4 linked regions of the Drosophila melanogaster genome follow. The protein of the gene in region 3 purifies or fractionates together with the protein of the main gene of each other region. This does not show direct contact. Each region holds a gene or a part of one and is shown on either strand. Other genes may lie near its edges. The genes, in order: Cap-D2, SMC2, Cap-G and glu.

Region 1 (7,099 bases), on a different chromosome or scaffold from region 3:
ATCGTAATTATTCTATTACATTTTAAATTTTTTTTTTTTTTAGATGGAGTTCCGGAATGTGGAATCAACGATGCACAATGCTTGGGCAACAATTCCGATATATTCACTTACGTGAAGATGGGTGATCAGGAGAAATACATTAACGACTCACGACAGGGTCACTTTTGTGATTGCCCAGACAATTGCAATTCACGGCTGTACGAAATGTCACTTAATGTGCGCAAATTGGATTAGTAAGTTCAATGTATATATTCTTAAAGAACAGATAATTAAATTCCCCTCTCTTTTAGCCCAAAAAACTCGACAGATCAATTGATAAAAGCCCAGGTTTATTATGGCCAACGTGTCATGACCAAAATCATTACGAAACTCAAGTACACCAATATAGATTTACTGGCCAACTTTGGCGGGATCATAAGTCTGTATATAGGGGCCTCCGTCATGAGTTTTATAGAGCTTTTATTTGTGCTGGGAAAACTGATGTGGGGTTTCATCAGAGATGCGCGCATAAAATTGAAAGAGTATACTAAGTAGCTTACTTTAAAAAATGATGTAAAACTTTGCCGTAAACAAGTATATATAACATTATTTCTGTTTAGTTTCCTGGTCCGTGGGATAGCGTATATAGATAGCCGGATGTGGCACTGTAGCCGGCGTCTCTGGCAGTTGGTCCAAGTAGGAGCAGCCGATGGCCAGGGCGCTGCCATCGGAGCTGAAGTTGAGCGTGGATATGGAGGTATCGTATTCGTGGAACTGACAAAGGCGCTTCTTGTTGAAGCCATCCCAAATGTTCACAATGCCATCGGATCCGCCAGTGGCGAACGTCTGATAGACATTGTGGAAACTCAAGGCATTAACGGGGTAGATCTGTTCGATATTCTGCTCCCTATTCCGGTGGCACTTGAAAGCGAACTTGCGGCGCTGCACCTCAGGATCGTGATCCAGGTACTCCACTGCCACCCGTCCCTCGATGGAGGACATCACGTAGCCTTCTTTGTTGGGGAATAGACGAATGCAGCGGGTCTGGTACTTGAGCGAGGACTCCCGCTTCATGATGTAGCTGTCCATCTTGCGAAGGTCCCAGATGAGCACCTTGCGGTCGGAGGTGGCCACCACGATCTTTTCGTCGATCACGGACATGGAGTACACCTTTCCGTTGTTCTGTTCGAAGGTTCCAACGCAGCGCTTCTCCCGCATGTCCCACAGCTTCACGGTATTGTCCCAGCTACCCGTGAGGATGCCATTGACATACTCGGCGTGCTCCACGCATCTGATGGGCTCCTCGTGGGCACCAATTATGCTTTCCGCCTGGGTGTTGACATCAAAGAGACGCAGCTGGTTGTCCAGGGAGCCACTGACCACGTGCACTATGTCCTGCGGATCGTTGGTTGAATAGGGGATTGTTAATGTGTACGAAGGAGTCTCACCATGAAGGCACAGTCGAGAAGAGGGGCATCCTGCACGAATTTCTGACGCAGCTGGTTTGCCGGCACATCATAGAATCTAAGTGTTCCGTCCCAAGAAGACGCCGCCATGTATTGATTCGATTTGGGGCCGAATTTCACAGCGGAGATCAGGTCCTCCGGCGGATTGTTAAGCTTGAACTCTGGGGGACGCATTTTGTCAAGTTTTCTGCTAGCAACTTGTGGATAATAAAACAATAAATTCAAACAGAAACTGCTTAAAACAAATCAAACTCCGAATTTGCACGGCGTCTGGAGAAGAGATGCGAGTATTTCGATATCACTATCGATACATTGCATATTTGCATCAAGGGGACTCCCTAAACAGGTACACTTTTAATAATGTAAAAAATTTTACAAACCCCTGTTAAACCAATATAAATTTAGTTTTTGTGGTAAGTATCTATCTGATAAATACACCCTCTCATTATGAGCATTGTAAGCTTGCAGTCAGCAGTAACCGATAACCGATATCAAGCGATCGATTTGGCGGCGAATCTGCCCATCTCTATAAGCGACGCCACTCAATTCAGAAGATACAATTATTATTTCGCGGTAAATAGGAGTAATAACCGCCATGGAGGAATCGCACGACTTCCAGTTCGTCCTTCCCCTGAATGCATCTGATCTGATCAACTCCAGCGGAGATCAGTATTACGTGAAGGAGATTTTTGGCGCCCAGGAGATTCCCGCGAAACTACAAGGTAAGTTTCCGTTTTCGCGGTTGGTTTTTAAATTGAGTACAGTTTTCGGACGCGCAATCTTCATGTTTCCTTCCCAGAATGCAAGCGCAAAGTGCACTTGGGCGATCCTTTTTATATATTCGAGCACTTCGACTTGTATTACTCGATCATCGAGGCCCGCGGTTCAGATGGCGCCTCTGCACAGAATCTAATGAGGTCCTTTGACCTGCTCTACCTGACCGTGGAGAAACTGTTCCAAGACTTGCAGCCCCTGCTGACGGCCAGTGAGCCCATGTCTAACCAGCAGCGCAATAGTTACCTCAACCTGACCAAAATGACGCTGTTCCTCCAGGTGAGCACCGTCAAGAAGATCAACAACAGTGTCCAGCAGGCCATGCGGGATCAGCAGCTCAATGTTCAGAAGAAGCGTGCCAAGCCATCGGAGGGATTGGAGCAGTTTCCCAACTGGGAGGTTAAGCGCGGCAAGTTCTTGGTGCAGCTCTTCAACGTGCTGCAGTGCCCGCTGGAGAAGCTCTGGAGTCCGCCCGTAGCCGAGGAGGACTTTATAAAGTAAGAGCAAAGCATTTAGCATCCTATTTCTTCGATCTGCAATGTATCCATCTTCCCCAGTTTGCTCTGCGACCCCTGCTATCGAACAATCGAACTTTTGCCGCTTCGCATGGACAACAAACACGTATTCGACACGATCTTCCAGATCTTGGGCACATCGATCAAGCGCTTTAACCAGGCCATGACCTTCCCGGTGCGCATTCTGCAGATCCTACGCGGTACCGAGCATGCAGCCCATTCAGTAGCAGCTGGAATTTTGCTTCTGCACGAGGAGTACGGAATTTCTTCGGTCTTCTCCATTCTAATCAAGAGCATTGTGGATGCTCTAAGGATGGACAGTTCTGACTCTTCGGTGTCCAAACACTTCTCCAATTTCCTGGCCGAGTTCTCGAACATAGCACCTTCGCTGATCGTACCGCACCTGGAAAAGCTGGCGGAAGATTTACTAGATTGTCAGTCTCACACGCTGCGAAATTGTGTGCTCCAGATCATCGGCGACACCGTGGTTAGCGAACTGACCTCGGAGGATCTTAGCGAAGAACTGAAGGAAGTACGCAATGAGTTCCTCGAGCACCTAATGGCCCACATCCTAGACATTTCTGCACACGTGCGCTCCAAGGTGCTCAGTATCTGGCATCACCTGAAAACCCAGCACGCCATTCCGCTTAACTTCCTGACCAGAGTGCTGGAGGAAGCCATCGGAAGGTTGGAAGACAAGAGCTCGCTGGTGCGGCGTGCCGCCATGCATCTGATCAAATCCGCCCTGGAAAGCAATCCATACAGCAGTAAGCTTTCCATAGATGAACTCCGTGCCAAGCATGAACACGAGGTGCAGGCAATGGAGAAACTTAATGAGGTACTCGAGGAAGAGCGCAAGCAGGAGGAGAAGCTCAACGACGAGTTTAGCAGCTTGGCGCCCGAACTGCTGCCTTTCATAGAGGAGAACCTTACGGAGTGTGAGTTCATGCAGTTCCGCTAGTTCGACGTATATATTAAAGTTTATTGTTATATTACAGTTCCCGATATGCAGTTCGACAAGGAGGAGAGCGACGAGACCTTGATGGAGCGGATCATTCCGCTGATGCGCGAAAAGAACTACAAGGATGTTATTGTTCTAGTGCGAAAGGTAGACTTTTTGGCGGGAAATCAGAATATGAGGTATGTTGCTAATCAAAGATGGTTTTGTTTTACCATAAATATATTTACTTTCCAGTTCCTTACTGAAGCACGAGGAGCATTGCGTGTATGTGCTGGCCTTGCTAAAGACATATCACCTGCTGGCTGCTGGATTTAAACAGAGCGTATGTTTAATCTTAGAAAGTTATATTCCCTTCTAACCAAATCTTTTAATTTAGAGCGAGGAAATGCTGCAGCAAATCAAAACGGTGCAGTTCCTAAAAGACAGCATTGACTTTGCCGTCTTGATGACTTCAGCCTTCCCCAAACTGCACGAGATGCTCATGTCCAAGACAAACACGGATGTTTTTGAGGCGGTGGACTTGTTCACCACCGGGTACATGTTCGGAATTCACGGCACGGAGTCGGGAATGCAGAGAATGCTGCAACTGGTCTGGTCTTCGGACAAGGAGAAACGAGATGCAGTGTCGGATGCCTACAAGCGCGTTCTGTTCTCCACGGACCAAACGGGTCGCGCTCATGCCATTAAGGTGGTGCAGAACCTGTCGAAGTTTCTTTCGGAAATCGAGTATGGTCACTACACGGCCTTGGAGTCGCTGATGACCGAGTGGGTGTTGGGTGGCGACATCGATGCTGCTGTCATCCAGGTGCTCTTTGAGCGCTTCACGCTAAAACTGGAGGGCACTACATCCAACGAATCTCGCCTGTCGCTCCAGCTCCTGATAATGGCCTCGCAATCGAAGTCTAGTATTGTTTCGGCCAACACTGCCATCATCGAGGATATCGCCGTCGGAGAGCGGGTGCGTCGGGATCCACGGATATTTACCTCCTGTCTGCAGCTGCTGGTCAACTCAATCGATGCAAACAACACTGCCAAGTATTATAAGCGTCAGAACAGCGATGCAGAATTCGTGGGAAAGATCACGCGGCTCTTCCTCGACTTCTTTTTCCACAGAAGTCTATACGACTTCGACGCACTGGCCATGAGTGTTTTTGAATACTTCTATAGGATGTGCCAGGCGCCGGATGTGATTGCGCAGCAACTGGTGACGGCTTTACTCAAGCAATTCAATGAGAGCTGGCTGGTCAAGGAAGCGGCTGCAATAGTTCCCTCTCCAGACAAAGCGGATACGGAAACTGTTCCGGACTCGCAGCCCTTGGAGATTCCGCATTCGCAGACCCTTACTCCCACTCAGACTCAAGCTGATAGCCAATCGCAGATGCAAGGCACCTTGATTCCCGTGTATCTCGTCTCCCGCTTAATCTTTTGCATCGGCTACATGACCATCAAGGAGATGATCTTTCTCGACATGGATATCTATAATAACATGAAGTATCGCGACGAGCTGACGGCTCTTGAAGAGCGTAAAAACCGCAATCAGCAGGCGGGAAGTTCACATAATGCGGCCAGACTTACGCTTAATATGTCAGCGATGGAGGTGCGCAAGAGGCTGTCCGGAGTGGCAGCGGAACCACAGCAGGAGCCAGACGACGATCTGGTGGGAGCGACTGCAGAGGACAACATCGCCGAGGAAATCCACGGCATCTGCGAGGACATGCTGCTTTACAACCCGGATGCTCTGCTCTCCAAGCTGGCGCCATTTATCATAGAGATTTGCAAGCGTCCAGGTGAGTTTGGTGATCCCACGTTGCAACAGGCCGCTACTTTGGCTCTGGCCCGGCTCATGACCGTCTCCTCCCGTTTCTGCGAGTCCAACATGAGCTTTTTGATGAACATCCTCAACCTAACGAAGAACATTCGAATCAAGTGCAACACGGTGGTGGGGCTGTCGGATCTCACTTTCCGTTTCCCAAACATCATCGAGCCGTGGACGGGGCACTTCTACGCTCAGCTGCACGAATCGAACACCGAGTTAAGGCTAACTGCCGTCAAAATGCTATCTCATCTGATCCTCAACGAGATGATACGCGTCAAGGGTCAAATCGCCGACATGGCACTTTGCATTGTGGACGGCAACGAGGAGATTCGCAATATCACCAAGCAGTTCTTCAAGGAGATAGCCAACAAGTCGAACATTCTGTACAACGTCCTGCCAGATATCATCTCCCGTTTGGGGGACATAAACCTCAACCTGGATGAGGACAAGTACCGCATTATCATGTCCTATATCCTGGGTCTCATCCAGAAGGATCGCCAGATTGAGACGCTAGTGGAGAAGCTGTGTCTGCGCTTCCCGGTAACGCGGGTGGAGCGTCAATGGCGCGACATCGCCTACTGCCTCGGCCTGCTCACCTACAACGAGCGAGCTGTGAAGAAGCTAATGGACAATATGCAGCACTACAGGGACAAGGTCCAGGTGGACGAGGTTTATCAGTCCTTCAAGCTCATCATTAGCAACACCAACAAGTTGGCCAAGCCGGAGCTCAAAGCTGTAGTCACCGAGTTCGAGAACCGACTGAACGAGTGCCTGCAAGTCAACCCGGATACCGCTGCCCAGGGTGATCAAGAAAGCACTCCAGAAGGTCAGGGCAACAGAACCAGAGCGGCGCCAAGGACAAAGAAGGGTGGTCGCAAGCCGGCGGCCAACAGGAACAATACTGTGCGAGGACGCGGAAGACGTGCTCGCCGGGATTCCACCTCAGAAGAGAGCTTCAGTTCCAGCAGCAGCGACTAGTTCGTGCTCCATCTTAAGTTACGATCTGAGCGGGTTTTTAATGATGTACAAAGATGGTTTTTAATAAAATAGTTAATAGAACCTATTATTGATATATTTATTACTTTGAAGTCAACAAACATCTAGTAAACTACTAAGATCCGTTTCCACATCCATCAGAAAGGGAACAAATATTTGGTTGCACTAAGCTACTGGGATGGGGAAACCAACACACGTAAATGGCAATACTCTAGACGCTTTGGAAGTACTAAGTTTGGTGGTTGCGTTCATGTTGTCTCTGGGCCTCCGACAGATGAGCACTGGGCACTGGCTTCACTTAATTTTCTTGCGAAGGGAGCGCTGGAGGGCAGGACCGTCGTCCGCGGTGCTCAGCGCAATGGCAAACTGGGCGGCGTAGTAGGTGATCATGATCTGGAGGCGGGCGCAGGGCAGGGGCACGCCCACGAACATGGTGACCGCGATCAGGGCGTCGGAGATCACAAACAGAATGGCTCCGATGGCACAGAACACGGCGAGGAAGTTCCTGGAGTCCACGGCGCGGGCCAGCGATCTCCACAGCATTGTGGTGATCAGGAAACAGTAGATGGGCACTCCGATGATGAGAATCTCG
Region 2 (6,259 bases), 1.7 Mb from region 3:
TGCCAGCGGTGTCTACAATATTTTGCTGCTCCCCGCACACACACACGCACAAGTCGTGTGTGTGTGTGGTAAAAGAATCGGACGATTCGTAATTTTTGGAACCTTGCAAATTACCATGGTGAGCTTTTGAAGCAGTCTGCGTTGGCTCGAAATCTTGATGTTTTGTTTTTCAACCGCCGTCGAGTTTTTGCTGCTGAATTCCGGGGACTTTTGTTTAATTTTTCACTCCCTCAAACATTGCTGTTGCTGCCTTTCGTTCTTCTTCTTCTGTCCGCTGCGTATGTGTGTGTGTGCGTTTGACGGTCTCACCAGTTTGACGTTTCGCCCGCCCGGTTGGAAATCAGCTGATGCGCAAACGACCGTTACAAAATTAAATTTGTAGTTAAATTACTTATTTCGTTGATTTAAGTAATGTAGCAATAAGTATATTGACCGATGGCTCTTGAAATAAGTATATTGCTGTAATACACAACCTTTTTTGCGAATTAAAAAAACTTGAAAAAATTCACAATTAAAATGATAAGAACAGTTTTATATGGTATTTTTAAAGTTTTATTAAGTGATAAGAAAGTAAACGAGTTCCATTTCAGCGTTTGTTGGTTGTCGCCTGTCTGCTGACCTGCCGGGTGATGGTGGACACACCCTCCTCGAAGAGAGTGCGGAACAGGACGTTGGCGTGGTTGAAGAGACCATCCTTGAGAGACACAATCAAGAACTGCGAGTTGGTGAAGTGCTGCTTCAACATACTACCTATGTTTTGGGTGTGTGACATGTCCAGGGCAGCGTCCACCTCATCCAAAATGTACAAGGGAGCCGGAGAGAACTTAAGCATGGCCAGGACAAGGGACAGAGCCACCAAGGACTTCTGGCCACCAGAAAGTTCACCGAGACTCTCCTTCCATATGCCATTGAAGCCGACTTTAATCTCCAAACCGGTCAGACAGCCATTGGTATGGACGGGATTGAGTTTCGCTTCAGCACCCGGTAAAAGGGAGCTAAAGATCCCACTGAAGTTCGTGTTCACCTCGGTAGCGGCTTTGTTCAGCTGATCCTGCTCTTCTTCGTCCATCTTCACTATGATTTTCTTAATCTTCTCCTTGTCCATCGCCACAATGTTTCGCCGGCGCTCGGTCTCCTTGAAGTTCTCTTCCTCGCGATCCAGCACCATGATAGCGTTCATGTTGAGAGTGCGTTCCATTTTGTCCTTTTTCTCCTGCATCTTTGCCAGCTTGTTGCCTGCTTCGTGGGGGTCCTCCTTGCTGTAATCGTACCGAGTATTCTTCATGCCAAAGCAGTTCTTCTCCTCCGGAATCCACGGATACTTTGCCTCAAGGGCTTCCATCCGTTTCTTTGCCTCTTTGGCATCCGAACTGATCTTTTTTTGTTCGTTCTCTTTTTTCTTCACCTCCAGCTCAATCTCCTGATTTTCCTTCAACATTTTCTCCTTCTTGACCAACTGATTTCGCATCTCCTTGTTCTGATCTCTCAGTTTATCTTTCTGCTCCTTAATCGCCTGTTCGAGCTCCGTCACCTCGGACGCGGCACTGGAGCTATTTACTTTCAGAGCGTCTAGCTCGGCCTTAAACTTTTCGAGGTTATCAATCATTTCCTGGTGCTGCTTCTTTGCAGTTTCGATACTTTTCTGCAGCTCAGTAATTTCCAATTGAAGAGTTTCGAACTCCTGCTCTCGCTTTTTCCAGTTCGCACGAGATTTCTCCGCCCTTTGCTTGGTCACCTTGATCTCGTTGGTGGCTGCATTCAGCTCTCGCTCGCGATAACCCTTTGCATCTGCCAACTTCGCCTCGATATCCACTATTTTGGCTTGCGAGGTCTTCTGCTTTTCACGGGAGTCAATTATTTGCTGCTCTAGGGTCTTGACCCTTTCCCTCATTTCTTCAATTTCAGCCTGATTCTGTTGAAAGGTTGTTTGGGCCAACCTGTTCTCGCACATGGTTAGCTCGTGCTGTCGCAAGTCAAGATTTTCCTTCATTTTGTTGAACGCGAGGGCCTGGTTTTCAATGGATCTAAAAACAGATAGGCGTAAGTATTGGCAATGAGAAGTTACTGGTTCACCTACGCAATTTGCTTTTCCACTTGGGCTATCTCAGAGTCGATCTCCCTGTACTCCTTTTCTATTTGCTTAATTGCGTGCAATTCTTCTAGAACGTTAGCACCTTTAGGAGCAGCACCTCCAGACACTGTGCCATGGGGATCGACGACATCTCCTTCCAAAGTCACAGAACGACAATTAATACGGGGGTCGTAGCTGATCTAGATAAAAAAAATGCATTTAAAAGATGTACAGAAAAAGAAATATATATACTCACTTGTTTGGCTACAATGAGGTCCTTGCAGATAAGTGTTCCGCCAAAGCAAAACTTCATGACAGGCTCGTAATAGCGGTCATAGTCAATCAGTGACATGGCCCATTGGACATTCTCGGCGCCCACTTTGTTTTGAGCGTATTCTACCACATTTCTGTTTAGCGAACCAGATTGAATCTTGTTGATGGGAATCAAAGTGACACGACGCTGAAGATTGCCCCTCTGCAAGATCTTCTTGCTAGTCACATCATCGTCCGTCACGTAGCTATATAACTAACATAGAACTCGTGATTAAAGAAATAACTTTTCAAATCAGATTTAACAACTTACACTTCCGCCGGCTGTCTGGACTAGAGCCATGGAGTTTTGCATGTCTTTCACCTGGAACAACTTGCCTACCAAACCACGCACCTTACGCCGATCAAAGTTTGGTTCTGGGTCCTGGTATTGCAGATCATAGCGGGAGGCATTGCAGCGGTCCAGCTCTCGTTTCAGATCGCGCTTTCGCATGTGCAGATCATTGCGTCGCTGCTTTAGCTTCTCGAAATGACCGCCCTCGTAATCGAGACTTTGTAGCTGCCGTTCTAAGTTCTTAATCTCAACCACCAACTGATCATGCAGCTTCTTATCCTTTACATAGGCAGCGTCGTTGGTCTGGGTCTCACCCTCACGCTGTTTCAATACGCCACGCGTATGACGCAGCTCGATCTCTGAGGTCTTAATGGTGGTCTGTGCCTCGCTGAACTGCTCCTTGGCCACTAAAGCGGGAATATAGGTAATTAAAATGATTTAGTTTCATCCCCGACAGACATACCTATCAATTGTTCTTGCAGTGTTGAGGCTTCTCCGTTTTCATTGGTGGAGAGTCCCTGCGAGACAGCCTCCAGCTTCTTTTGGGCGTCCTCATAGGCTTTTGAGTCCCTGGCATCTGCCTCCTTGAGGCTTTCAAATTCGCCTTGAACCTTGGCCATGTCCGCTTCTTTTTTTGCCAGGGCTCGTTCATCATCCTCAATGTTTTTGGATGCCATGCGAATTTTCTTCTCATCTTGCTGAATCGTTCCCTGGGCCGCCTTCAAGCTACCCGTAGCGGTAGCTTCTAGTGCCCGCTTGGCGCTGAGCTGGGTTTCGAGATTTTTGATGGAGCCACCCATCTCTGCATCGATCTGTTGCTGCATCTCCTTCACGGAGTTTTCAATGCTCTCGACCTCTGCGAGGTTCTTGGCGTGAGTGGCCTTGCAGTTCGCTATGCGATCCTCGATTTTGTGCTCATTAGCCTCCACCGTCTTGAGGGTCTCGCATTGCTTGAGATACTTGGCGGAGATGTGAATTCTGATGAGGAAGTCTATGTCGCGGCAGATTTTCTGATACTCCTGGTAGGCGGAGCGTTCTTGGCGCAGCTTAACCAGCTTTGGCAGCACCTCCTCGTCGAGCAAGACCTTGGTCTCCCGCACTTTGGTCTCCTTTTTTTCAATCAGGGTTTTGGTGGCATCTCGCTTGGTTTTGTACTGACTGGTTCCCGCTGCCTCCTCTACCATTGACAGAACCTTGGGGAAATATCTATGTTAGATGGAGAACTATTTATGGTTGTGTTTTTCTGGCTACCCACCTCCTTGGGCTTCATATTTAGCACTTGTTGGATCTTGCCCTGCATGATCAGGAAGTTGGGATTGTTTACATTTAGCTGGATGGAGCAGAAGAAGTCTTGCACCTTCTTGTTCTGCACCAGCTTGCCATTGATGAGGAACTTGTTCTTGCCTCCGACAACCACCTGGCGCGTCACAGAGATCTCCCGGCACTTTTCGTAGCCCTGCGGACACTGGGCGGGATTTGTGTTGTCAAACACAATGGTAACAGTGGCCTTGGTAATGCCCGCCTGCCCATTCTTGTACACCAAATCCTGTAGAGCCGAAGCGCGCACCTGGTAGCACAGAGATAAGCGTTGAAGTCCAGCCCCAGACATATCCAATTGGTACTCACATTCTGGAGATTACTAATTCCCAGTACGAAACAAATGCTATCCAAGATGTTTGACTTGCCGGAGCCGTTTAGACCCGTGATAGCCGTAAATTCTGGATCGAATCCTTCTATCTCCGTGCGCCGGCCATAGGATTTGAAGCCGTCGAGCACTAGTTTCTTAACATACATTTTTATGCTAAGCGGTTTTTTTAATTCCTGGCGTTCTTTTCGTTAAATTCCGCGTCAAAAATTTGCCGCAATTAGTGTGACCGTGGCACGGCATCTGAAATACATATCGAAATGTCAGGGCAGGAATGCTTTCGATAAAAGTGCACCTAGTGACGAAATGCAATACAAGGCAACAATTTAAAAATGCTATGAACCCAATTAAATTCAGCTAAAATACTTATGTATGACTATACAAATTTAACTAATCTATAGCTTCATTCAATTATTTTAACGTTTAATTAAGCTACCTTATGACCCCCGGAACTTTTATTACAAAAAATGGTGTAATAATTTTAGTTTTTAAGTGCCTTCGTCACCTGATAATCTAATCGCACCTTGAGCTTTTCAGTTTGTTTTATTTAAATACCGAAATGGAAGACTTCGACGATGATTCCTTTAACGATGTTCTGGGCGCCATGGAAATGCCAACGGCTGCAAAGCAACCGAAAGTAGATGCCCCAGCGGCCACAGCAGTGAATCCTGCTCCTAGCAATAGTACGGAACCTAGTGGATCCGGCAGACCCGCACCCGGCAAGCCGGCTTCAAATCCGCACTGCGTCCTTGTTCACAGCAAACAGCGCGGTAACCCCATCCTGAAATCCATACTTAATGTCCCGCTGGAATTCCGCGACGACATCGTGCCCGATTATGTGGTCGGTCGAACATCCTGCGTGCTGTACCTCTCGCTAAAGTACCATAATCTCAATCCCGACTACATTTGCCAGCGTTTGAAGGCTCTGGGCAAGATGTATGAGCTGCGGGTGCTACTGGTCCAGGTGGACACACCAGAGCCAAACAATGCCCTCAAGAGCTTGACCAGGATATCACTGTTAGCCGACCTGACAATGATGTTGGCCTGGAACGCTGAGGAGGCGGGCAAAATCATTGAGACGTACAAACAGTTCGAGAAGCGTCCGCCAGATTTGATCATGGAGCGAGTGGAGTCTAATCCACACCAGAAGGTACGCATGTTTACATTGCCAGTATCGCCACTGTAATGCAATATCCCAATGTCCATAGCTACTCGCTGCTCTCACCAACATCAAGCCGGTGAACAAGACTGATGCTGCCGCCTTGCTGCACACCTTTGGCAACCTGGGCAACATAATCAATGCCAGCGAGGAGCGACTCTCCCAGGTGATGGGACTGGGTCCCCGGAAGGCCAAGAAGCTGTACAAAACGTTGCAGGAACCGTTCCTCAGCAAATAGCAATCCATATTAGGTGTAATGCATCCCATAATCGTGTATGACACACTTCATCCATCATTTGAATACTTTAATTTTTTATTACGCAGACACTGTACAAAAATTAAGTTCCAGAATTACCCACTTAAATATATCAAACAATAATCCTTATGTTACTCGGTCACTTTCCAAATTTTAATGGTGCCATCATCGCTGCATGATATCAGTTGCCCGGCCACCACAGGATTCCACTGCACCGAGTTTACGTCCTGATCGTGAGCGCCTTCCTCCGCGGTTATCTGCTCGAACGTGGGTTCGTCTGGCTTGGAGTCGCTGCTCTCCTTAAAGATACGAATGCCGTCGTCGCCACAGGCAGTCGCTATCAGACCTGTAAGCTTGCACCAGGACACGTCGTAGATAGCCCGCGAGTGCTGCCCGGACACTGTGCACACGCACTTCCACACGGTTTGCTGGTCGGGCGTAGCCACTCCGGCTGTATTTCCGGGATGGTAGGCCCTCCAAATCTTTATTGTGGTGTCATCGCTACAGGAAACCAGGCGCTCGCC
Region 3 (4,932 bases):
GAATGTATTGCAGAAAACTTATCGCTATTTTGTTGTGGATATTCGTTTGTGGCGTGCTCATCTCCTGCACTGTCATTTCGAGGAAGAACTTGGTCAAGTGTTCAGGTTGGACGCCGTGAAGCGGCGAGTCATAGTTGCAGGTCCAAACGGTGGGTAGGAAGCACGGCTGTAGGAGACTATGCTTGTTCAGGCGTCTCAGCTCTTCGAAGAATAAGCCCAGCACCTGGTTGATAATAGGCTCGGTGTTTGGGTTAAAGTACCGCTTGAGCAGTAGCTCCAGCACATCCGTGCGATCGTCGACGTGGCCACGGAGCACTAAGCGACAGAGGCCGCGAACGATTGCCATCCCTACACCTCTGTGCTGCACTCGCTCCAAATAGTGGCCCAGTACCACGAGGATGTCACTATTCTGCTCGTTGTTCTGCGACTGGCTGCCATCGTCGTCATCGTATAGCTCCTGCATCGTGTACAGTTGTCGCCGCTTCGTCTTTGACAGTGAACCTCCGGTCTGGTTAAGATCGTTGAAGTAATCCACTCCATAGCGATCCAATAGCTCTAAAATGCAATTGGCCGACGCTTCGCACAGACGGACGTTATTGTTTTTGCAAAACTGCACCACCACTACCTCGAAGACCTCTCTGCTGTAGGCCTCGTAGAAAATGCTAAAGGTGGTGCCGCATTTAATGGACCACTCAAAGATGTCTACTTCGGCGCACGGTAGGTAACGGCAAATGAAGTCCTTGTACAACTGGCAAAGACTTGGCGTCAGCTTGTGGACGTGCGGCGAGGCGGTCATGTAGTAGGAGATGTAGAGACCCTTCAGCACGCGCTCTTGCTTGGAGAGCTTCGGTCGGGTGGGCATTTCAATCACGCCGTGCTTCTCCAGCAGCGGCCTTATTAGCTCGGTGTACTCTTCGGTGACAGCGATCTTTTCATCGTTTACGGACTGCGCCCGTATGTACTCCCTCTGGCGCACATAATTACCCTCCAGTTCTTCCAATTCAAGAATTTTAACTTTCAGGGAAGAGATCTTCATTTTTAGCGGAGTGTCCAAGTCGTCCAGCAACTTATTGATCAAACTTCGATCGTGAATCAGGTCGTTCTGCTTGGTGTTCAGTTCGCATAGCTCGTATATGATCTCGATAAAATATTGTATACGATCGTTAGTGTCGGTGATCAGTTGCTCCATGCAGCGCACCAGCACGCGCACGATCTTGTGGTCCAATAGACAGTCTTTTAGCAGATTGGTGATCAGCAGACGCATATTTCCGCGTCCGATCTCGTCGCCTAGATCGTAGGTCTCTAATATCTCCACCAGCGAGAGGAGCATGTTCTGGAACTCCACCTGGGCAAACTTGTCCATATCGGGCTTTTGAAACTGGCAGAATCTACAAAACGGAATACATTTAGTACCAACTGGCGGTAAGGATTAGATTCCGTGACTTACTTATCCATATAGGTGCAGAAGACACTAAGTTCCGGCAACAGCGATTCGATTTCGGGCGCTTCCGTCTCCAGATATTCGCTAAGACACTGCCAATATAACAACAGCTCTACGGTTACTGAATCGTGTGGGATGCAGCGGTGCAGCTCGCAGTCTTCGCTTAACGGCAGTTGATCGATGAGTTGCTTGATGTCCGTTTGCTGGAAGATCACTCTAAGCATTTGCTTGGCCACGCGTCGAAAGCGCAGCAGTTCTTCTTCATTCGAGTCCAGCTTGAGAGCCGCTATCAGAGCGACGTAGTTTTGCTGATAGGATTCAATCCACGTCTTTAGCATGAAGTTGATCACTGTTTTGCGCACGGTTGCCGATGTATCGTTAAGTCCCTGCTCCAGCAGGGTAAGCCGCTGGGCAACCTTGTAAGAGCGCACCGGATAGTTGCACATGTTGACGTAAGTGTGTCGGCGCACCTTCTCGTCGACATCCCAAAGACGCTCCAGGATGTGCGGAATGGTAATATAATTTCGGCCCATGCACGTGATGATGCACTGACGCACGTTGGGCGAGGGATCGGATGTGAGATGGTACATGTACGCGCCCACGACGACGTCGCTGGGATTGTCTGGATTTTGAAGGCGCTGCATGGCCAACACGGCCTGTTTGCGAACACTGGCGGACACATCCTTCACCCGGTCCAGCATTGCTTCCAGTATATCATCGCACTGGTGGTCATCCAAGGCGGCATTGGGTCCGAGCTCCTTAAGTATAAGATTCACAAAGTAACAGATGCGATAACGTATGTGCGGGTTGCTCGAATAGGTCTGTGGGGGCGGAGAAAACAAGGCACTAGCATTAGGAACACAATTCGTCAGCACAGTAGGTACAGTAGACACTCACCGTAAGCAGCCAATGAAAGGTTTCGGCCAGCATGGGCTCAGTACCATCCGAATCTGAGCTGGTGACGAAAGTGGCGCAGAAGTTGAGGGCCATGTTTGCGTTCTCATTGCCCTCCTCAGCCCCTAGGACGGCTTTCAACACGTTGATGAAGGCCTTGCGAAAGGACTCGTGTCCCATCTGTCGATAATGAACAGTGTTAGACCCTGAAATCCCAAATTTGATATACAATAATTTCGACGCCACTCACCTTTGCGTACAGTTGCTGCATCTCCTTTGAGTAGCGCTTGTGCAGGGATTCCTTGAGCTCGGCTTGTCGCATTATCGCGTACATGAGTTCCGCGGATGTGTCTGAGGTGGTGGCCACGCTCTGATCCTCGTTTTCCTTCTCACCATCCTTTTTCGTCTTTTTGGTGGCCGCCAGACGCTTTTTTCCTCCCGCTGCCTTGGTTTTGGGTTTTTCCGTCTCGCCCGCCTTCGCCTTTGGTTTGGCCATTCCGAATAGTTTATTCCGTTTTTTGTGGTCCGCAGCCAATACTAGATTTCCGTATTTTACGGTTTAATCTTAAAAACTGTTTTCAAATTGCATCGAACGATGGCGAAACAAACAAGCGTCGCGTTATTGCTATTTCCTCATTCCACCCCCGTTCGCTTGTTAAATTCAAATGATGCGTATGTATTTTTTAGTGTGTTTCTAGTGTTAAGATCGATAAATGTGAATGAATGTTGCCTATCGATTGCTGTGCTCCATTTTAAATTTAACGGAATTATGTATACATACACATTTTCGTTTCAACAAACATTCCGATATTTAAATGACGTATAAAGATCATCATTTGCTGCGTTAAACCTTTTTGTAAAGACTGTGAAATATCATAGCATCTGAAGCCATATTTAATATCATGTATACGATTTTTTGCACTACTCATCATTTTCTAGAAGCGGCAGTTGGGATTTTACGAAGGGTGGGTTTTCAAGAACATAAGGGGGATATTACAAAACAGAGATTTATCTTTCAAAATACCCGTTGTTCAATAGGAAATACAGCTGGCAGATAAGAAATTGCCCAGAGAGAGTTAATGTTAATGTACGTTCATGGTAAATTTCAGACACGTTTTACGTTTTGATGCTCAAATACGGATTACGTATAAGTAAATAAAGATTTCCACATTTTCGGAACTTCTTTTTCCGAATTCCGAAAACTGATGTACCATTAGAGTTTACACAATTATTAACCAGTCAATCATATATATTGTTGCATACTTTCAGGCGCTTAAATGAAGAAGGCGCAAATTTAAAATCAAAACAAAAGCCTAATGTAATACCAAAATCATATAGTTAAAATAAAAGCTAGCTAGAGAGAAATTGTCATTTGATAAATGTTTATTTTCATATATAAAATATACAAATAGATACTGTCGCGAAATCTCTTCAAACATGTCGCGAATTTCGAAGCGCGTCTATGAGGCGAAGTCCACTTACCCGGATCGCACCAAGTCCGAGGAGAAATCCTTCACGGAAGTGAGTGTGCCGATCAAGAAGCTGGATACGGCGCTGCTCCTCCTGAGTTCAAAGGAGGAGTGTGTCCTGCTGACCATTTTCAGCCACATAACGGACTTTGCCCGCCGCCAGGATGTGAATGTGCTGGAACTGAAGGCCCATCGCTTGTTGGAGCTGTTGCTGGAGAAGGATTTGTTCATCGCGTCGGAGAACACGATGATCCGCCGCTTTGCTCTGTACTTGCTCACTGCTCTGCTGGACAACACGGACATGTCCACCTATGAGCCAGAACAAGCGGATCAGATCCTGGAGCTGGCGTGCAGATTCTACATGAAAGAGGTGGACGACTTCTGCATCGAGTACTTGACGTATATACTCAATGTGTGCCTGAAGGATCCCCAGATGGCACATGGCATTGTCGAGGCCACCGAATTCCTGGAGAAATTTAAGTTGGTGTTCATAAGTTCGGAGAATCCGGACACCGTGTTCAACTCGATTGAGGCACTGCATAGGATGCTACTGGTCCAGAGTGCAGATCAAATGCTGGATTTCACAACACAGCCGGATTTTCCGGTAGATCGTATTATCTGTGAGGTTACCAACGAGTTCCAGGAGATCCGCAAGGCGGCCCTTAAAACATTGAAGACTCTGCTGGCGGACACTGGCGACGATAGCGTCTTCGAGGCACTGCATCGTTGCTACTTCGTGCTGGAGCAGTTGGTCAAGGTGTTTTGCGAGAGTCCACAAGGGCCGGAGGCTGCCGATGTCATCGAGGTTCTGGCCACAGCTCTGCGATCCGAGAAGATGACCAAGCTGTTCTTCGAGCAGAACCTCTTCGACCAGGTTGTCGAGCAGGTGCGCAATCACATGGACCTCATGCCGCTGGAGATGCGCTGCACCATCATATCGATTTTCGCTGAGACGGCTCAGTACGAGCAGTTCCTACCAAGGATGCACAAGGCCGAAATCGCAGACATGTTCCTCACCTGTTTAATGCAGAACAAGCCGGCTCCGGCTGCCTACGTCATCCAGGGACTTCATCGCATGTCACACCATCCGGAAGCGCTGCGGCGAATTGTGGCCGCCTATCAGGAGGG
Region 4 (7,095 bases), on a different chromosome or scaffold from region 3:
CCTTTTTGATTGGCTCGAGGCCTCAATTAACATTATATTAACCATAATGTGATCTTAGATGATCTTCCGCCGTGATTTAAACGTGATGGAAACAATAGTAAGACAACTAGTCACGAAGTACAGCTGGCACTAAACTAGCACTCAAAATTATGTTGACTTGCCATTTAAAAATATTTTTCCAATTTATATGCACTGGCAAACTTGGAAATGATTATGAATATTGAAAATATTGGATAAATATTGCTAGAATTGAGTGTAAACTATGGAGCACCTTTGAGATAAGTATAGTAAATTGTTGAACTTTTTCAAATCACTTGTGTAATAGGTCTTTCTGAAACTAACGCCAGCTCCACCCACTTGGAAATGCGTCCCAGCCATGTGCCACATTGCGGCGGACGGGTTGAAATGCGTTTGCATCATGGATCGGCAGCAATGGCCCGTAGCCGTGCCGCACCATATCGTAACTCAGGCGGTTGGGCAAGCGACGCGTGTTGGCCAAATGCAAGATGCGATCTCAAGATTGGAGATATGTGCATACATATGTGTGACTATAGTAGATAGACCGACTGACTGACAGTCCGTGTGTGTATATCTCCATCTCCATCTCGATCTCCATCTGAATCTCAATCTGCAGCTCTAGCTGAATGTCTAGCTGGGGCAGCTGGGCATTTGCAGCATTTAGAAAGTAAATTTATCATCTCCGCCGGCCAGAGAGGCCAAGGCAGCGGGTCAGGAAAATTTCAGCAACTGTCATGGGGTTCAATGCACACGCTCTTTTTAGTTTTTTTTTTTTTTTGTTTTGTTTTTTGGGGACGGGTGCGGGCATGTGGACAACCCGACTTGGCCCCACTTGGCTGGTCGTTTCGTGTTATATAACTCCTTCGATTCGATCGACAACTTTCACACCCAATGTGCGCATGCGCGCATGAGCATGCCAAAAACTAAATAAATTCAGTCGTACCCAATCGAAAAGCGAACAAAAGGGGAGAAAATTACCAATGACCAGGGCGTCCAGCGACGACGACATAATCATAAGCGCCACCATCATCCAGATGCACAAACTGGGTAAGCGGTGGGCGTTGGGAATTCGCGCTGTTGGTTGTGGCTTCGAGCGTCGCTGGGCGGAAGCGACGACCTTGACTGTGAAACCCGTTTGGCCATTTGCATTATAGGCATTTTCCCCCGGGCAGAGCATTTTTCAGCCTGCTTTCCACTTTGCCACTCGCGTTTGTGTTTGGCTGCTTGCTTTGAGCGCTTTAATCTTGCGCGCGATCGGAAAACCGAAGGAAAAACCGCCAGTGAAAATGGTTCCGCACCGAGCCAAAGTCGAGTTGTGACTAAAGTCGTGCGAGATGCAGCCAAGGCATTATATATATTTGGGCATTTCTCTGACTTGCGGATAGCGGAGAGAAAGCTCCGCGCAGTGGGTGTCTCGCTTATGTTTTTGGGGAGCGCAGAGCGCGCTGAGTTATTCATAATTTCCAAACTATTACACGGCTTTTTTGGAAATTAAGTAGTTTGCTTGCTTATTATGAAATTCATTTACTTTACGATGAAATAAATGTATTTCATTATTTTGCTAACTTCATCGAAAAAACTACTTAGTTGAGTTTTATTGTGATTTAATTAATAATATTTCATATTATATTTACAAATATCAGTTTCATATATGTTTTAGAATATTTGAAATTTGTTCTTAGCGTCGATGTAACGACTTTTAATTTAAATTCAAACTACAGAGCTGACAACTCGCCTGATTTATTTAACGGCCTTGCCAGTATTTTGCGGGCACATCAAGACGGTCACACTGCTGATAGCGTCCTATTACCATTGGCGCCCGAAAAAGCGATTTTGTAATTCGAGGATTTTTCCTGGATAAATCCACACGGAGAATTTACTGAGAATAGCGCACGATGCAGAAGGCGCGTCCCAGCAAGGGCACGCCCAAGGCAGCTGGCGGAGCCCGGCAGAGCGGCCAGTTTCGCGTACCGCAGCTAACTGCTCAGCAACAATTGCGGGCGCAGCAACAACAGGAGGAGGAGGACGCCGCCGTGGACGCGCTGGATGATGCACTGATCTTCGACGACGAGGAGGGCGGCACCCGGATCGGCGACATATACATACCGCCTCCGGTGCCGCCACATTGCTCCATGGAGAGCACCGGACCGCGCCTGATCATCTCGAAAATTGTAAATCGGAATTTCAAGAGCTATGCGGGCGAAGTGGAATTGGGTCCCTTCCACCAGAGCTTCACTGCCATCATTGGACCCAATGGCAGTGGCAAGAGCAACGTTATCGACTCCATGATGTTTGTGTTTGGTTGCCGCGCCAATCGCATCCGTTGCAAGCGTGTCTCCACCTTGATCCACTCCTCGTCTAGTTATCCCAATTTACGCAGCTGCTCGGTCGCCGTCCACTTCAAGCAGATCGTAGACAAGGGCGACGGCACATGCGAGGACGTGCCCGACTCCAGCATTGTTATCGAACGCACTGCCATGTCGGACAACTCTTCCTACTACCAGATCAACGACAAACGGGCGCAGCTCAAGGATGTGGCTAAGCTGCTTAAGAAGCATCATGTGGATCTGGAGCACAATCGCTTCCTCATTCTGCAGGGCGAAGTGGAGTCCATTGCCATGATGAAGCCAAAAGGGCAGACTGAAAATGAAACTGGAATGTTGGAATACCTGGAGGATATTGTCGGAACACAGCGCTACATTCGCCCACTGCAGCAGATAAACCAACGGGTAGATCAACTCACAGACGACCGAACAGAGAAGCACAACCGCTGCAAGCTGGCCGAGCGCGAGATGAAAGATCTGGAGCAACCGTTCAATGAGGCCGTCGACTATCTGAAGAAGGAGAATGAGCTGGTGCGCACCAAATCCTTCCACATCCAAAAGATCATCAGCATCAAAAAGAGCAAGCTGGAGCAGTACACCCAGGAGCATGAAGCCTGTGCGGAAGAGCTAAAAACCCACGACGAGGGCACTGCTGCCCTGAAACAATCACGAGCCGAAAAGGAAACAATCATCCGAAAGGAAATTGAGTAAGTACCTAGCTTCAACTTCAAACTGAGCTATATATTACATTACATTACGTAATTTCAGAGAATACGAAGCTCTAGTGAAAAAGCGCGAACAGATCAAGAAAAGACTTGTGACTGTTGAGAGTGCCTACACAGAGATCCAGAGCACAATGGAGAACACGAACAAGCAGCGCAAGAAGGACAAAGCCCAGATAGAAAAGAACGAAAAAGAGCTGGAGGATCTGCACAAGTTGCCGGAGAAAAATCAGCGCGAGATCGAGGATTGCAACAAGAAATTGGAGAGCCTGGAAGTAAGTAAGGTGACACTGAATGAGGAGCTTGAAAAGCAGCAGGCCGAGTTAACTAAAACCACTGCACCGCTTACCGAGAAGCGCCTTAAGCTCAGTGACGAACTGGTGGGCCTTAAGGAGAAGGTCAACACGGCTAAAGGAGAGGTTCAAGTGTTCGAGTCGCAGCTCAAGATCCTTAAACAGGCAGAGACCACTGAGTCTAGGAAATATGAAACCCTAAAAAGTTCGTACGAGCAGTCGCAGAAAAGTCTGGAGGAGAAAGTAACAAGGGTGGACGAGCTGAAAGAAAGCATTCCACGGATGAAGACCGAAATTGCCAGCAAGTCCGCGGAAGTGGACAAAATGGTTAAAGAGGAACGCAACCTATCCATGCAGTGCAACAAACTAAGAACAGAGGTATGGTTCATTTATTTACATTCTATACTGTTCTTCTATTTATAAATACCTTTTCCGGCAGATCAATGAAAGATCTAGCGTCATGCAGGCTCAGCGATCCAATAACAAGGTCCTAGACTTCCTCATGCGTATGAAGATGGAGGGAAAGATCCCTGGTATTCTAGGACGCCTGGGTGATTTGGGTGGCATAGATGCCAAGTACGACATTGCTATTTCGACTGCCTGCGGGCGGTTGGACAACATTGTTACGGACAACTATGAGACCGCATCGGCGGCCATTGGCGCTTTAAAGGAGTACAACGTGGGCAGAGCCACCTTTATTACGTTGGACAAGATTGAGCACCATCGTCGTGAGGCCAACTCCAGGATAAATACGTAAGTAATAGTAACAGAATGAATGGAAATGGTTATTAACACCATTCACGTACTATTGCAGACCAGAAAACGTTCCTCGTTTGTACGATCTGGTTAAGGTTGAAGATGACCGCGTACGAACCGCTTTCTATTTCGCCCTACGGAACACACTGGTATGTGACGATCTAGAACAGGGCACCCGCATCGCCTACGGCAGGGAACGCTACCGAGTTGTGACCTTACGTGGTGAGATGATCGAGATGACGGGAACCATGTCTGGTGGCGGCAGTCGTCCTATACGCGGAAAAATGGGCACCCAGGTGCGCACCAAGACGGCAGAATCGGCTGACAGTTCGCAAATATCTCAGAAGGCGTTAGAAGACATGCAGATTCAGGCGGAGGAGTTACAGGCCCGAGTCAATTATTGCCAGGAACAGCAGGGCAGTCTTGAGCGCGAGATTCAAACCCTGAAGAATGGCTTGCAGCGTGACGAGGCGGAGTACAAGCGGCTGGCGGTGAGCATCACTTCTTTGGAACAACAGATGGCCAGCAACCTGAAGCAATGCGAGGCGCAGCGGCAGCGAATGCTCAAGAAAACAACAGACGAAAGGGCAGTCAAGGAGCGGGAGGAGCAAATAGAAGCAGCGAAGCAAGAGCTGGAACAAGCACAATTCGCCGAACAGGCTGTCTCCAGCCAAATCGAAGAGATCCAGAACCAATACGATACCCTTAGAAATGAAAGTGTCAAGCCTGTGGAGGCCAAGATCAAGAAGGTAAATAGCCAGATAGAAAAGCTGGCCGCCAATGTGCGGTCCTTGAATGTGGGCTTGGCCACAGCAGATCGAAATATAACGAAAATCACTGGAAACAATAATAATCTCCGTGAGAATATAAAAGCTGCAGAAGAAAAATTGAAATCGTTGAATGAGGATCGAAATAAGGCTAAGGAAAAGAAGGAGGAGTTGGAAAAGGAAATAGAGGAATCGGAAGCGTCCATCGAGGGCGCCAAATCACAATCCTCCGATATAAAAAAAGAAATAGATGAGATCACCAAGGAGGAGAACAAACGAAATATCGAGCGCATTGAAATAGATACTAAGCTGCAAGCTGCAGCGGGAAAAATGAACAAGGTGAAGAATGACATTCCCGGATGGCAGGCTCAACTGGCGCCTTTGAAGCTCAACGAGATTCCAGGAGAGACTGAACCGCAAGCGCCACTCAAAGAACTCAACGAAGAAGAGCTGGAGGCAGAGACTCTGGAAGCCTTGCAATATAAGCAAACTATGCTGGAGGAAGATCTGAAAACAAAGAAGCCCAACTTGAGTTGCATAAAGGAGTTCAACGAGAAGCGCTTAGTCTACCTCGATCGCGTCCGTGTGCTGGAGGACATCACCTCCAAGCGCAATGAGATGCGCGACAAGTACGAAGAAGTTCGCAAGCGACGGTACAAGGAGTTCATGGATGGCTTTAGCATTATAACAAGAAAACTGAAGGAAATGTACCAGATGATCACACTGGGCGGCGATGCTGAGCTGGAGCTGGTGGACTCCATGGATCCGTTCACCGAGGGCGTAAATTTTACTGTGCGACCGCCAAAGAAAAGCTGGAAATACATCTCGAATCTCTCAGGTGGTGAGAAAACTCTCTCCTCATTGGCACTTGTGTTTGCCCTGCATTATTACAAGCCCTCTCCGCTGTACTTCATGGATGAAATTGATGCGGCGCTGGATTTCAAGAATGTGTCTATAGTGGGTCACTATATCAAGGTAAATACCTCTCTGCTTTCTTGCCTTACATTCACATTTTAAAGCCAATTGTTGTTGTGTTCACTTAGGAACGTACGAAAAACGCTCAGTTCATAATTGTTTCACTTCGTGTCAACATGTTTGAGCTGGCCAACTTCCTGGTGGGCATATACAAGGTCAGCGATTGTACGGACTCCATCACTATGCTGAACTATCCGCCTACGCTGCCCACTCAGTCGCCAGTGGTCGCTAACAGCCAGTACGTGGGTGGAACAATTGAGGGGGATAACACGATAGCTGCCGAGAACCAAGACGATACCCCCACGAAGAAGAGCCAATCGCCGCCGTCAGAGCAAATAGTCCGCTTGATTAGTGAGTTGGGGAGGGATACCACATTTGCGCCGCCCTTGGAAAGTACGGTGAGGGACACAATACTCGCGCAAAATCTGAAACAGGCCGCCACTGAGGTTGCTGCTCAACCGTCAGATGCCACGGGAAGAGTAACCACGGATGTGTCCCTAGCAAGCCCGCCATCTTCCCCAGCCATACTTAATGTTTAACTCCAACCTACTTCAATATTGTAGAATGTTTTCTTATCCTGTAAAGGGGCATGTTGTAAACTGCCTGGTAATCTAATTTCTGGTAAAGACCGAGACGTAATTTGATGACCTCAGGTGAATCGGTATTTCCAATTGGTATTATCCTTTCAATGCTTAATAATAAATGTTACATAAAATTGTACAGGCATCTTTTTTTTTATTTAAAAACTGAGTGGTCTTTAACTTATTCTTAACTAAAGCTGGCCATAATCTTTGAGCAAATTCCTTCCAGCGCCTCAGTGGTGACATTCTTAAACTCAGTTAAATCCTCGCCAGAATCGCAGGCTTTGGATATCTGTTGATCCAGAGGCAGGGAGCCCAACAGCGGGATTCCCATTTCGGCGCACATGGCAGCGGCTCCTCCGGTTTTGGCTGGAAAGATTTCGGAGCTATTTCCACAATGGCCGCAACGGAAACTGCTCATATTCTCGATCACGCCCACAATGGGGATATTTTGCTTTTTACAAAAGTTGATCTCCTTGCGCACGTCCAGCAGAGACACCTCCTGTGGAGTGGTCACCATCACGGCGCGCAGGGACTCCGGGTTGGCGTCGTCTTTCAGGTACGAAACCACAGACAGGTGCTCATCGGAAGTTCCAGGTGGTGTGTCCAGTAGCAGGAGATCCAGATTTCCCCAGTCCACCTCGCTCAGAAACTGCCTG

Evidence for each region.
Region 1: the proteins of Cap-G (region 3) and Cap-D2 purify together in Drosophila melanogaster (affinity purification with western blotting, with the first as the bait; one study listed by BioGRID). This does not show direct contact.
Region 2: the proteins of Cap-G (region 3) and SMC2 purify together in Drosophila melanogaster (affinity purification with western blotting, with the first as the bait; one study listed by BioGRID). This does not show direct contact.
Region 4: the proteins of Cap-G (region 3) and glu purify together in Drosophila melanogaster (affinity purification with western blotting, with the first as the bait; one study listed by BioGRID). This does not show direct contact.

What each region holds. Positions count from the first base shown.
Region 1 is NT_033777.3:29,673,690-29,680,788, forward strand, and holds Cap-D2 (CAP-D2 condensin subunit), read left to right. Parts: upstream 1-1,961; 5' UTR 1,962-2,040; coding exon 2,041-2,167; intron 2,168-2,244; coding exon 2,245-2,716; intron 2,717-2,776; coding exon 2,777-3,672; intron 3,673-3,732; coding exon 3,733-3,874; intron 3,875-3,929; coding exon 3,930-4,017; intron 4,018-4,071; coding exon 4,072-6,489; 3' UTR 6,490-6,568; downstream 6,569-7,099. Other genes in the region: ppk19 (pickpocket 19), read left to right, coding at 44-233, 291-534; Bub3, read right to left, coding at 586-1,374, 1,428-1,619; CG7582 (uncharacterized protein), read right to left, coding at 6,802-7,099.
Region 2 is NT_033778.4:14,848,086-14,854,344, forward strand, and holds SMC2 (structural maintenance of chromosomes 2), read right to left. Parts: upstream 4,569-6,259; 5' UTR 4,470-4,568; coding exon 4,302-4,469; intron 4,243-4,301; coding exon 3,931-4,242; intron 3,869-3,930; coding exon 3,139-3,868; intron 3,083-3,138; coding exon 2,655-3,082; intron 2,598-2,654; coding exon 2,328-2,597; intron 2,272-2,327; coding exon 2,078-2,271; intron 2,025-2,077; coding exon 587-2,024; 3' UTR 536-586; downstream 1-535. Other genes in the region: CG10209 (uncharacterized protein), read right to left, coding at 115-117; Ercc1, read left to right, coding at 4,880-5,470, 5,529-5,717; Ciao1, read right to left, coding at 5,867-6,259.
Region 3 is NT_033778.4:13,131,213-13,136,144, reverse strand, and holds the start of Cap-G (chromosome associated protein G), read right to left. Parts: upstream 3,004-4,932; 5' UTR 2,832-3,003; coding exon 2,586-2,831; intron 2,516-2,585; coding exon 2,339-2,515; intron 2,263-2,338; coding exon 1,448-2,262; intron 1,389-1,447; coding exon 1-1,388. Other genes in the region: CG13326 (uncharacterized protein), read left to right, coding at 3,773-4,932.
Region 4 is NT_033779.5:16,733,096-16,740,190, reverse strand, and holds glu (gluon), read left to right. Parts: upstream 1-1,802; 5' UTR 1,803-1,913; coding exon 1,914-3,049; intron 3,050-3,110; coding exon 3,111-3,735; intron 3,736-3,796; coding exon 3,797-4,110; intron 4,111-4,171; coding exon 4,172-5,855; intron 5,856-5,923; coding exon 5,924-6,394; 3' UTR 6,395-6,574; downstream 6,575-7,095. Other genes in the region: ChLD3 (chitin and LDLR binding deacetylase 3), read right to left, coding at 997-1,195; Nubp1 (NUBP iron-sulfur cluster assembly factor 1), read right to left, coding at 6,624-7,095.